Nothobranchius furzeri: one gene and its partners. The protein of the gene in region 1 purifies or fractionates together with the protein of each later gene. This does not show direct contact. Links are inferred from orthologs where the notes say so. Each region holds a gene or a part of one and is shown in the gene's direction. Other genes may lie near its edges.

Region 1 (4,243 bases):
GGGAGGCTCCACAGGGTACGTGGTTACGGCAAAATGGCGGCTCATGTCATCAGCTTCTGAAGCCTCGTGGTAGCCTAGTCATAACAACCAGATTCGCTACGTCAGCCTAGAGATTCTGAACCACACACACACACACCAACACTATAACATTCAAATACGTATGCATTCATCATTGAGATAGTCCTGGTAGATTGTAAGAATTTATAATTATAAAAATTAAAGATTCTTAAACGATCCCAACTCTCTCTTTTCTTGTCTCTCAGTCAATACAGAGTGTTTAAGTAAACTCCCTGATGATAAAAACAACCACTTCTGATTATAATATTTAGCTCTAATTACAGTGTATAAATATACAAACTATAGATCACTACAGTGTTGTGAAGTGCCTTGGGGGGTTGTAGAACCCTAAAGTGCTGCCATGACAGTCTTTGCTGCCTCTATAAACACTCCAAATGTTAACGTCCATGCATATTCTGTCTGTCAGTGTTTGATTTTAAAAATGAATAGCCTTTAACAGCCATTTCAAAAAGTCCCTGTTTGTGACATCACAAACTGGCGGGACCCTCCCTTGCCTCTCTAGGCTGGAGAAAAAGCAGCTCTACTCTGAGCCTCTCAGCTTACAGCAGCATATCAGGTGACGAGTGGGTGTGGCCAGCTCCAGCTTGTTTTCTTAAAGTGACAGATCCTTGAAACGGCTCATTCTGGAAGGTATTAAAACGGTTAAGAATAATGCTGCTGTGAGGAATTTTGTATAGAAAACTTCATGAACATGTTTTGTATCAACTAGAACTAAGAAAAAAAGTTGTAATGGGTTAAAACAGGTTTATCTAATAAAAGGCAGCTTTATGTAGAATATAAAGGAGGAGAATATATGTATAATGCAACAAAGAAACGTTTTCAAATAAAACTATTAAAAATAACGGAATAAAATAAAAATATATAAAAAAATTATTTCAATCAAACAAATAAAGTAAAAGTTTTTAAGAATTAAGATTTATTTTTAGATAAAAAACACTACATTAAGTTTCCTTTCTCCTCGTGTTTCTGGTTTGGTATTGTACCAATTATCAAGATAATGATACACAAATGTTGCTTAAAACACCAAAAGTGTTTTCTTAACAAATTATTGCACATTTTAAAATCCAGTTACAACCTCTGTTGCTATAAACCCAACAACATTACCTCATTTATCACTTAAACAATAATAAGATGATAAAACACTTCCGCAACAACAGTAAAACTAAAAAAAATGTTGCCTTAAATTTGGCACCACTTCTTTGTTGTGTGTGCACATAAATTTATCTTTTTAACAATCATGACTTTTAGGAGGTAGAAAGAAGAAAAAACATTTTTTACATAGCACCTCTCAATAATCGCAAATCGCTTCATGACAACAAAAAATTAAAAAGTATAAAAGAGTAAGACTGTTAAAAGGGGCAAAAGAATATTCTTTGTACAAACTAACTATGAAGAAGTCTATTATGTCATCCAACAGATTCATATTTTATAGATTTCACTGGTGGTCTGATGGAAGACCACCATGATGGTGTTTCATTGGCAAAAGTACCCTGTCAACAAACGCACCCCACGTCACGTGACGATTCATCCAGAGGCAGAACTTGTAAACTACAATTTTTTCAGGATGTTGTCTTTTTAGTTTGTGTGCTTTAACGCTTTTCTTTTGATCACACGTGTATGATACTCAGTTTACAAAGTCTAAAATAACATTAAAGGTAATTAAATGAATAAAAATAGCCAGTAGCATCTCAAGAGCTACTCACAACTAACGCATAAACACCCGCTGGACTGTTCGGAATTCCGAGGAGCCTTGAACGCACCGGTCTTGTCTGTGTACAAGCAAGATGGCTGCCGCTTCTGCGATGGAAGACGAATTCGAAGATGCGCCCGACGTGGAGCCTTTAGAGCCAACTCTGAAGAATATCATCGAACAGAAGTCACTGAAATGGATCTTTGTTGGTGGGAAAGGTGGTGTCGGTAAAACCACCTGCAGGTAAAGTACAGGAAGTGCTCACATCGACCTGAGCTAGCTAACGCAGCTAGCTAGGTGTCAACTCAGAATTTGACATGTGTCAGTTTCAGTAAAATAAAGGGGCAGGCCTTTTTCTTAACATTGTACCGATTTTAAACTAAAGTCTTCATGTTGTGTGTCAAGTAAAGTATCATCGTTCGATGATTGTCGACAACTGAACGCTTTCTAGCCCAGTCAGCAGCTAAAGTTAGCAAGATGACACATGCATTCATCAGGTTTTAGCTACTTGTTTTCAGCTGTTTGAACAAGAATCACGATGGAACCTGTTGGACTATCTGCAGATGTTGCTTCAGCCCAAACACTCGAGAGTAAATCAGTGATGGACCCAAGGGAATACAATTCATCACACGTGCCCGTGTTTGAAAAGCCTTATGAACATGTTCGTTTCGTTCAGTTGTTTTGGAAAACTTGTGAAGGTTTTAAGTCACTTTCTAAACTTTTATCAACTTTATTTGTTCGATATGAACCAGATATACGTTGATAGGCCAAGTGTACAGCCTTCTGCATAAGGTTCTCCGTCTTTTATCCATCCTTTGTTTAAAGACATAATCAACACTTCTCCTGGATTTCTGAAGGCTTTTCTGATAGACGGCAGCATTTTGTGACATTAAAAATGGAAGAAGGAGGAAAGATCAAGGAGAAAGTGTTGATACTGTAAACAATCAGCTGTAGATAAATTATTAGAGGTCATCTCTCAGATTTGGAAAACGATTCCGGTGTTATGACTATGTGCTTCCTCGTCGAATTTTCTTACCAACGCGCATTTCAACAGCTGATTCAGTCTGTCCATGTTAGCTACTGTTAATTTATTTTATGGAGAAAAAAAGTGGATAGTGTAAGAAGCATTTTAGTCATTTTGTAAAAATTAACCCCTTTGTGCCGGCTTGTTCACATACACGAGAGACACGAGCGTTCCTTTTACTGATGTTTAATGCGGTCTTGCATCTTCTTTATCTTTACACCACATGAACACCTCCTTGAACCGTCACCTTATCGTGGTGGAGGAGTTTGAGTGCCCTAATGATCCTAGGAGCTATGTTGTCTGGGGCACTTAGTGCCCCTGGTAGGGTCTCCCATGACAAATTGGTCTTAGGTGAAGGGTGAGACAAAGAACGGTTCGAAGGATCTTTCATGGCGGTTAAAACGAAGAGTCGGAGTACCCGGCCCGGAGGGTTACCGGGGTCCCACCCTGGAGTCAGGCCTGGGGTTGGGGCCCGTGAGCGAGCGCCTGGTGGCCGGGCTTTCGCCCATGGGGCCCGGCCGGGCCCAGCCCGAACCGGATACATGGGCTCGTCCAACTGTGGACCCACCACCCGCAGGAGGAACATGAAGGGTCCGGTGCAATGCGAATCGGGTGGCAGACCAAGGCGGGAGCCTTGGCGGTCCAATCCCCGGACAAGAAAACTAGTTTTTGGGACATGGAACGTCACCTCGCTGGCGGGGAAGGAGCCGGAGCTTGTGGCAGAGGTTGAGCGGTACCGGCTAGATATAGTCGGACTCACTTCGACACATTGCATTGGCTCTGGAACCCGAGACCTGGAGAGGGGTTGGACACTCTACTTTGCTGGAGTTGCTCCGGGTGAGAGGCGGAGGGCTGGGGTTGGCTTTTTGTTAGCCCCGAGACTCTCTGCCTGTGTGTTGGGGTTTACCCCGGGGGACAAGAGGGTAGCTTCCTTGCGCCTTCGGGTCGGGGAACGGGTCCTGACTGTTGTTTGTGCTTATGGGCCAAATTTCAGTTCAGAGTACCCACCCTTTTTGGAGTCCCTGGGACGAGTGCTAGATAGTGCTCCATCAGGGGACTCCATTGTCCTGCTGAGGGACTTCAATGCTCACGTGGGCAATGACAGCTTGACCTGGAGGGGTGTGATTGGGAGGAACGGCCCACCTAATCTGAACTCGAGCGGTGTTTTGTTATTGGACTTCTGTGCAAGCCGCAGTTTGGCCATAACGAACACCATGTTCGAACATAAGGATGCCCACCGGTACACTTGGTACCAGGGCAGCCTAGGTCGCAGGTCGATGATAGATTTTGTAGTCGTATCATCTGACCTGCGGCCGTATGTTTTGGACACCCGAGTGAAGAGAGGGGCGGAGCTGTCAACTGATCACCACCTGGTGGTGAGTTGGATCAGATGGCAAGGGAACATGCAGCGTAGACCTGGCAGACCCAAACGCATAGTGAGGGTCTGCTGG
Region 2 (3,650 bases), on another chromosome or scaffold:
GTTTTGTTTGTTGTTCGAGGGAATTAGTTATAGTTCACACGACCAGTCTTCGGTAATTCTATAAATGTGTCAAACAGCCTCATCTGAACTGGTGCGGTTGTTTTTAACGTGTAATGGGTTTCCGTCACTCTGACCAGTTTGTTTTCTTGTCCTCCTCCAGTCATCCCAGTCCAGCTGAACTGGCAGAGATGCTGTCTGAACTGCGGCGAGTTGAAGAGAGGCTGCAGCCTTTTATCCAGAGGGGTCACACTATTCTGGAGACGGCCACCACGGCAGAGTACAACAACAACACGGTAGGGTCCAAACTCTCCCGCCACCATAAATACATCTGAATGACCAGAAGAGCTGCTTTTAGATCCGTACACTTCTGAATCAGCAGCACATACTTCAAATTATTTTGCTCCTTAAACTGGCTCAGTGTGTGTGTGTGATTGTGTGGGCATGACTTCTATTTTAGCCTTGTTATTTTATGTAGCTTATATTTTACTACCTCCTTACATGAGCTGTCTTTAACTCATTCACTGCCATTGACGACTAAATTCGTCGTTTGCATTTTTTTACTGTGTGGGCGTCCGAACGAGCCCCCGCACCGCGTGAACAAACATCCCAGCTCTAAAGTCGATCTTCATCCACGTACGTTACACGTCACGTGATCAGTAAGCAGAAAACCCATGTGTTAGGAGATCGTTTTGGACCGTTGCTGTAAAATAAGTGAGGCGCGAACCGGAAAAGCTTCTGCCGATCACAATTCGACAACGGATTATGAAAGAACGGATAACGCTGGAAACTTGTGGATTCTTCTTGATGTAAGAGGTGAGTTTACTCTTTGTTGTGGTAGTTTTGGCGTTGACATCATCGTAGCGCGTAACGTTCTGTGACGGCGAAAACCGCTGGCAATCAGGAAACGGCTGGCAGGGAATGAGTTAATGAGCACAAAGTCAGTGTCGTTGACGTGTGCAATGACAACAAAAATCATCTTGAATCTTGAACATCTACCTTTAATAATTAGTCAACCAGCTTGTTGGTGATTTTAGCTTTGTTTTAAAAGACGAAATAATGCAACCTTAGATGCATATGTAGTTTTTGTTATGAATGTGGTTAGCTCTGTTTTACTTATCCTGAGGTGAAATCGCTTTTGGTTCTTGTTCTAAAGGGTTTTAAACATCTAACATGAACTAAAAGCAGATTTTTTTTTTTCACACAGGAAAGAGAGGAAGACCAAAGAACACTCTTCCAGATTTGTGAGTGTTTTCGTCTCCTTGGCAACGCCCTGGTTGCCCTGAGTGACCTGCGGCTGAACCTCATGACTCCAGTCCCTCGTCACCTTCATGTGATGCGGCCATTTTCTCACTACACCAGCCCCGTCACCCTCCCTGGAGCCGTGCACCATCACATCCCAGTGCAAGTACGAGGTGTTGGGGTGTTCAGCTGATTGGTGTTGTGTCTCTGGTTGCGCCACACTGAATGAGCTTCTGTCACCCACAGATGAACTTGGGTGCCACAGTGACTGTTGCAGGTAACAGCACTGAGGGACAAACTCCGCCCACCCAGCCAGCCAGCCAGTCGGAGCAGGCAGGTCAGGGACAGACCTCCCCCTCACAGACTACCCCGTCCAATCAGCAGGCTGGACAGGGACAGGCTGGCCCCCGGGTCATCAGGATCAGCCACCAGGCAGTCCCGGTGGTCATGATGCAGATGAACACGGACGGTGTGTTGTCCCCTCCCCGCCACTGATTGAGTCCTGTGTTTGTGTCTCAGAGGACTTCATCCATAAGAGTTGCTGAAAGACGAAGCGTGGATCTAACCAGACTAATGAGAAGTTTTCTCCCATGTTTGTTAAACCAGCCATGACTCTGATGTTGGAAAGGCACATTGTTAGAAAAACTGCATAGATTGTTTGGGTTGTAATTATAAATGACTTGCACTTGTGTAGAGCTTTTCCAAAGCACTTGATACTAGTTTTTCTGTTTATTTCTGTTATTTGCAGGCCCAAGTGGAAACTCAGCTGCAGGTACTCCACAAATGCCCGGACAGCCAGGTAAAGAGTCCCCACTCTAACTGGATCCAAGATTCTTGTTACTTTATAAAAGTTCTAAATAAATCCTGCCTTACCTGTTTCTGACTGGCCTTTGGTCACAGAAAAAGTTTAACACTTTGAGGACTGATAAGCTAACGGCTAGTCCAAGTAAGCAACTCTGATCTGGATTTTTCAGCAGTTTAGTTCATAAAATGTGACTTTTTAGTTTGAATCAGACTATTTAGAACTTCCTGCGGGACTCGAGTCCAGGATGGCCTGGAAGCGCTACATTCACCTGGAGATGTTTACATTTGTAAATAATTGCCGAAATCCATGCAAACAACCACAGGATATGAAACCAAAAATGATGGAGAGGTTAAAGTTTGGGATTTGAAGTTGGCTGCAACACACTTGTCCACTCTGAGTTGGCTTTTTGCTTATCGTAGGGTTGGGCATCGTTTGATTTTGAACGATTCCGATTCCTCGTTTCGATTCCTGTTCCTATTGATTCCTGATTCCGATTCTTTTAAGACATTACATGTTTTAAACGAGCTAGCCAACCACAGGTTCTACTTGAATGAAATAATCTTAACTTCAACATGAATTTTAATTCTATGAACACTAACATCACCTTCATTTAGACAAAAACATGTTTTGGAGATAAAAAGAAAAAGACTTGCAGCACAACCAGTGTGTTTGTTTCTGACCACAACCAAAGTCTGGAAGAAGCCTCTGGGATGAGAGGCTAAATGTCTCCAACATATCCAGAAACGTCCAGCTGTTTTCAGCTAAAACTCTCAGGATGATCATGTCCAGGATGACTGACAACTACACCTCCATGCTGCAGCAGCATTCAGTCAGAACAGAAACTGAAACCTAAATGAAGCTGCTTGTCAGTAACAATCTAACCGATTTTAAACATTAAAGTCAGGGGGGCTCGGTGCTGCACACAGACAGCTGGTGTGATCAGCTCTGAAAGGTTTTGATCACAATTTGCAGATCAGGTTTATTTTTCACGGAGATCGGCTGCAAATTCCTCTTCTGGTCGGCATGCTAGGAATCAAAATAAAAAAAAAAACTTTTAAAGTCGGTCCCGGTTCCAATCGATGCTTGATGCCCAACCCTACTTATCAGTCATCAAAGATGTTACATTTTCTAAGAAGAAAGGCTGCTCACGAGTCTTATCTGTGATGTGCAGGATCAGAAAAATGTGAACTCAATATTAATCATACACTTCAGATTAGCTTGAATACCTCTTCAACTCTTTGTTTTAAAGGTGCGGTTCACTTGTTTAATCGATACATTTGCAGTGGTCTCTAGTGGGACTGAATGCTTTGTAAGTTGTACTCTGTAAATTAACTCGAACTGGTACATGGACCGGTACAGTATTGATGTGGTTGGTGGATGATCCATCCAATAGAGAGAAGTTCAGAGTTCAGACCAAACCAGTCGTTCCTGCCTTGCTCCATCGCCATTTGAACCCGCCCAATTCGAGTCTAATTTCCCCCCAACATTTACAGGTTCTTTGTTCCGACGATGATGTGCAGGGTTTCCCCCAGTGCTTTATAAGTCTGGCGGCCCGCCAGGCTAAGCGTCATGCCCCGCCCCCCTCCCAGACCCTACCGTGTCCGCT
Region 3 (4,370 bases), on another chromosome or scaffold:
ACTCATCTATCAACGTGTCCCTTTGACGGAGCTCCTCGATCTTCAGCTGCAGGGCAAACTGGAGGTCCCGAAGAGTTCCCATCACCTGTAGACAGACAGACAGACAGACAGACAGACAGACAGACAGACAGACAGATAGATAGATGATAGATAGATAGATAGATAGATAGATAGATAGATAGATAGATAGATAGATAGATAGATAGATAGATAGATAGATAGATAGATAGATAGATAGATAGATAGATAGATAGATAGATAGATAGATAGATAGATAGATGATATATAGATAGATAGATAGATAGATAGATAGATAGATAGATAGATAGATAGATAGATAGATGATATATAGATAGATAGATAGATAGATAGATAGATAGATAGATAGATAGATAGATAGATAGATAGATAGATAGATAGATAGATAGATAGATAGATAGATAGATAGATAGATGATAGATAGATAGATAGATAGATAGATAGATAGATAGATAGATAGATAGATAGATAGATAGATAGATAGATAGATAACAAATGAAATGTGTTTTGCATGCTCCAGTAAGACTATAATAGTGTTTCAGACACTCATCACTTACCACGTGCAGTCTGGGTATCGATCAGTACCTCTTCCTCACTCCCGTGAGTGCGTGCTTATTTGACTCCGTCCATCCGACAGGTGTGTACATCTCTCCTGCAAGTGCCCGAGTGAAAGATGCTTCTCCTGCTGGCCGGGACTGAGCAGGCAGCGTAGACAGGCAGTCACGTGACCAACATCTCGGAGACCATCCATACGGGAGGGGAGAGGTAATGACAAATGCGTGGACTGGATCCGAATTGGGTCAGACGGTCCTCGGAGTCCATCGGAACCAATGGGGAGCGTCAAACTGAGAATAGCCTTTCCCCCCAGCTAAAACAAATCAAAGGTTATCTGTGTGCACTCTGATAGCTCCTTCTTCTGTCCAATGAGGCGTTTGTGCTCCATTTCAATAGGTCCGTTTTACGTTAATCTGTGATTTATTTTATATGTTTTATTTGGCAACACATTGCAATTCAATGTAATTGCTACTCAGCGTTGTTTTGTGTCAAATTCATTTTTGCTCGAATATGGAAGTGTGAGTTCGTGAGGAAACATAATAAAAATAAGAACAAAGGCGATATATTTAAAACAAGCAAACTTGAAGCTGTTTCACAAAAGTCTAATCGGGGTATTTGGGGGTATTTCGGCTGTGAAATTAAAAGCCTGTTTTATTTTCTCGGGCGGACAGAATAGGCTTGATGTTAGACGACTACTGCAGGTGAAATATGCTGATTTTCACAAGTGTGTTTGAATCAATTGTGATTTTTTAAACATAATTTTCTACGTTTGAAATGCAGATTTCTGTTGTTTTCCAGTTTTGTTTGAAGGGCTGAGATATTCCTGCCAGACGGTGGCGCTGTTGTCAGTTGAGAGCAAGCAGTAGCTGCAGAAGAAACAGAGGAGAGTCGCAGAAGAAGAAAAAAGAAGAAGACGTTCCACTGAGAAGAGAACAATCTGTTTGCTCGTTACCAACCACTAAAGTAACGTTATTTGGGTACATTTTAAATCATTTAAAGTTTGAACCTCTTCGCGTGTGTTTGGTTTGATATTTTTGCGGCTCTCATAATGATTATCACGGTGAAGCCGCTTTCAGGACTGGAATGTAACATTCAGGTGAGTTAACGCATCATGATGCTAACTGCCGGTGTAGCCAGCACACCGATGGTTATTTATCATATTAGTTTGCAAGTAAAGGGAGAACATATATGCTTCTTTAGTCAGGAAATTAGACAAAACACACCATTCTATGTAGGTTATGTGGGGTTAAACCGGTTAAACATAAACATCTGAGACGAGTTTAAACGTTATCTCTACCGAAGCTGTCCTGCTAGTTAACACTAATGTCACAGGAGGCCTTAAAAATGCACGTTTTTATGCTTTATTGGTTGTATTTATTAAAGTGGAAGGTTGTGCGTGACTGTATGACTTGGACAAATGTTAGCTTGGAGTATGGTTGCTATGGTGATCGTAACAGGGAAATCACCCAGAACTTTAGTTTTTAAACCAAAGCATTCCGTTTTTAATTCGTAAACGTGCAGATTCCATTCAATTTCAACATTTGGAAATTAGATGTGTTTACTCATTTGTAAACACTTCGATCTTTTAAAGCACCGTCGCGTGACAATCAAAAGGTTGTATTTTAATAGCTGAGGTAAACTAAATTCCCAAATCATTGTGGCGTCTACCTTTGTCTTTAAGATGTGAAGAGTCTGATCTTGCGTAACTCAATCCCGTGTTACTACACACAGAAATAATTGATACGCTTTTAATTTCTTGTTTATAATGATTTTACAGATTTAAGTAGGTCTGGGGTTTGAGCCAACAGCGCACCACAGCCGAGACATTTTCTAATTTATGTAAATTAGGACAACGAAATCACGGTGAGCAAATTCAAAAGTTGTCATTTACATTTCTCACAAGCCTGATTTAAACTTTGCCCTTCAGAATAACATATTCATTGAAATTCGTTTCATTTTTGAGTCGGCAGCTTAAAGAATCTCATTATTCTTCCCTCTGGCTGAATCCAGTCTCATTAATGTTTGCTAGCGACTCGAGAAACCTGTCTATAATACCCTTCTCTGTTTCCTAAATAAACAGAAAATGTCATTACCAACAGTGAGTTTATTTAAAAAATGATACATGAAGTTGATGCAAAGTTAATTGCCTAAACTTTGTTACTGCGTCACTTTCGTCTCAGTTGCTTGTGCTTCTTTTACTTCCTCTCAGTGCTTCCTGTCCTTATATCCAAACTCACACAAAGAACCAGTCTTCTGTCTCTGCTTTTAACCATTTTCTGGTGTGAAAATGCAGCAAAAATTATAACAGGCTAGTAATTATTCTACATTATTTAATCCTGTACAAAAAACACAACTGTGGTGCAGTAATGAGTATAAGTTTGTATATTTAGCTGGATTAAAACACCACAAATAAATAATGCTTTTGCTTAAAGAGCAAATTGCAGGTTAGAGACTCAAATAAACCAATGTTTAGAGAAACATAATAGCAACTCGTTTTAAACTTTTTTTTACACATTCATAAATTATTTAGGCTTTTAGAGTCATTTTTGTGAGAGAGTTTTTTTTTTATTTCTTTGCCAAACCAAGTCAGCCGACGGGGTCCTGTTAGCTTAATCTAGAGAAAAATGTAGATCCTAATGTCGGCTCTGACACAGAGGAAACTTTAAATGTTTGTAATTATACTTATGATGGACCAAAAAAAAAAACAGCTGGCCCGCTGAGCCGCCTGTCTCTTCTGGTGGTCGGTTCTGACCTGGTTCTGACGGTGATCTGAGTTCCAGAAATCTGAATGTACTTTTTTAAACCCTGCCACGGGTCTCCAGAGCCCAGCGCAGACCTCCCTGTCTCTGTACCAACCGATTTGGGCTACAGAAGTCCCGTCTTTTCAGCTGCACAAAACGCCCTCAGGCATGTGAGATAGAGGCGTAGTTTCTCTTATCTGGAAACCCGTGGACTCGATGTCCAGAAAGGCTGGAGTTGGTACAGCCTTCACAAACTATAGTTTATCAACATGAACACAATCCAAAACTAGTAAACACACACGCTGACTGGATAACATGACCGCTCTACCCTAAAACTACCCACTCTCCACACAGAGCTGAGGCAGCGCCTAGCTTCTAACTCCCTTTGGTTACATCAGAGGTTCAGATTTAGAAAAAAAGAGCCTTTTTAGAAGCTTTGCTGAGAGAGGCCACTTTTTACTAGAAAACTGCTGTTTTTAAACCAAATATCCACAATAAGCATTTCAAAGAGTATGTTTGGACAGCATTTTATATGAATTAGAAAAAAATATGTTACCTGCAACTTGCTTTTTAAAGAGTTAGTCACCCCCTACAAGAAATTCACGTTACTCCCACTTCATCTTTGAAAAATGCAACAAATGCTGTTGCCTGGCAGACCGAGAGAGCGGAGCCGCTAACAAATAAACACAAACAGGCTCACAAAAGCATTGTGACATCAAAATGTACTAGCTAACGTCATTGCATACCTCTTAGCCAATAGCAGTGGCAGGTTTAAATTTAAATGTAGTGAAGAGGTTTTACCGGACGACGGCACAACACTGACAGTTTTAGTCAGAATATTTAAAGTCCAGGGGCCACGCACAACGGGGTTGGAAAACTGCGCAAGCAATTTTCCACGCAAACTTTGGAATTCATGAAAGAAAACTTTGCGGAAAATTGTGCGCAACTTTAAGTTGACTAAGGACCTGGCTTACGCACATTTTGGACATGGAGAGCACCTGCAGTGCTGCTGCTGAGAAGGATAACATTATGAAA

Evidence for each region.
Region 2: the proteins of get3 (region 1) and bag6 purify together in Homo sapiens (co-immunoprecipitation; 5 studies listed by BioGRID and IntAct, with this or other methods). This does not show direct contact. The link is inferred for Nothobranchius furzeri from reciprocal best matches to the Homo sapiens genes GET3 and BAG6.
Region 3: the proteins of get3 (region 1) and ubl4a purify together in Homo sapiens (affinity purification with mass spectrometry; 4 studies listed by BioGRID and IntAct, with this or other methods). This does not show direct contact. The link is inferred for Nothobranchius furzeri from reciprocal best matches to the Homo sapiens genes GET3 and UBL4A.

Annotation. Positions count from the first base shown.
Region 1 is NC_091746.1:25,392,011-25,396,253, reverse strand, and holds the start of get3 (ATPase GET3), read left to right. Parts: upstream 1-1,436; 5' UTR 1,437-1,862; coding exon 1,863-2,011; intron 2,012-4,243.
Region 2 is NC_091745.1:60,794,714-60,798,363, forward strand, and holds part of bag6 (large proline-rich protein BAG6), read left to right. Parts: intron 1-160; coding exon 161-293; intron 294-1,204; coding exon 1,205-1,405; intron 1,406-1,485; coding exon 1,486-1,708; intron 1,709-1,987; coding exon 1,988-2,038; intron 2,039-3,650. UniProt on the Homo sapiens protein: ATP-independent molecular chaperone preventing the aggregation of misfolded and hydrophobic patches-containing proteins.
Region 3 is NC_091757.1:40,380,088-40,384,457, reverse strand, and holds the start of ubl4a (ubiquitin-like protein 4A), read left to right. Parts: upstream 1-1,452; 5' UTR 1,453-1,642; coding exon 1,643-1,690; intron 1,691-4,370. Other genes in the region: prkg1l (cGMP-dependent protein kinase 1), read right to left, coding at 1-82. UniProt on the Homo sapiens protein: As part of a cytosolic protein quality control complex, the BAG6/BAT3 complex, maintains misfolded and hydrophobic patches-containing proteins in a soluble state and participates in their proper delivery to the endoplasmic reticulum or alternatively can promote their sorting to the proteasome where they undergo degradation.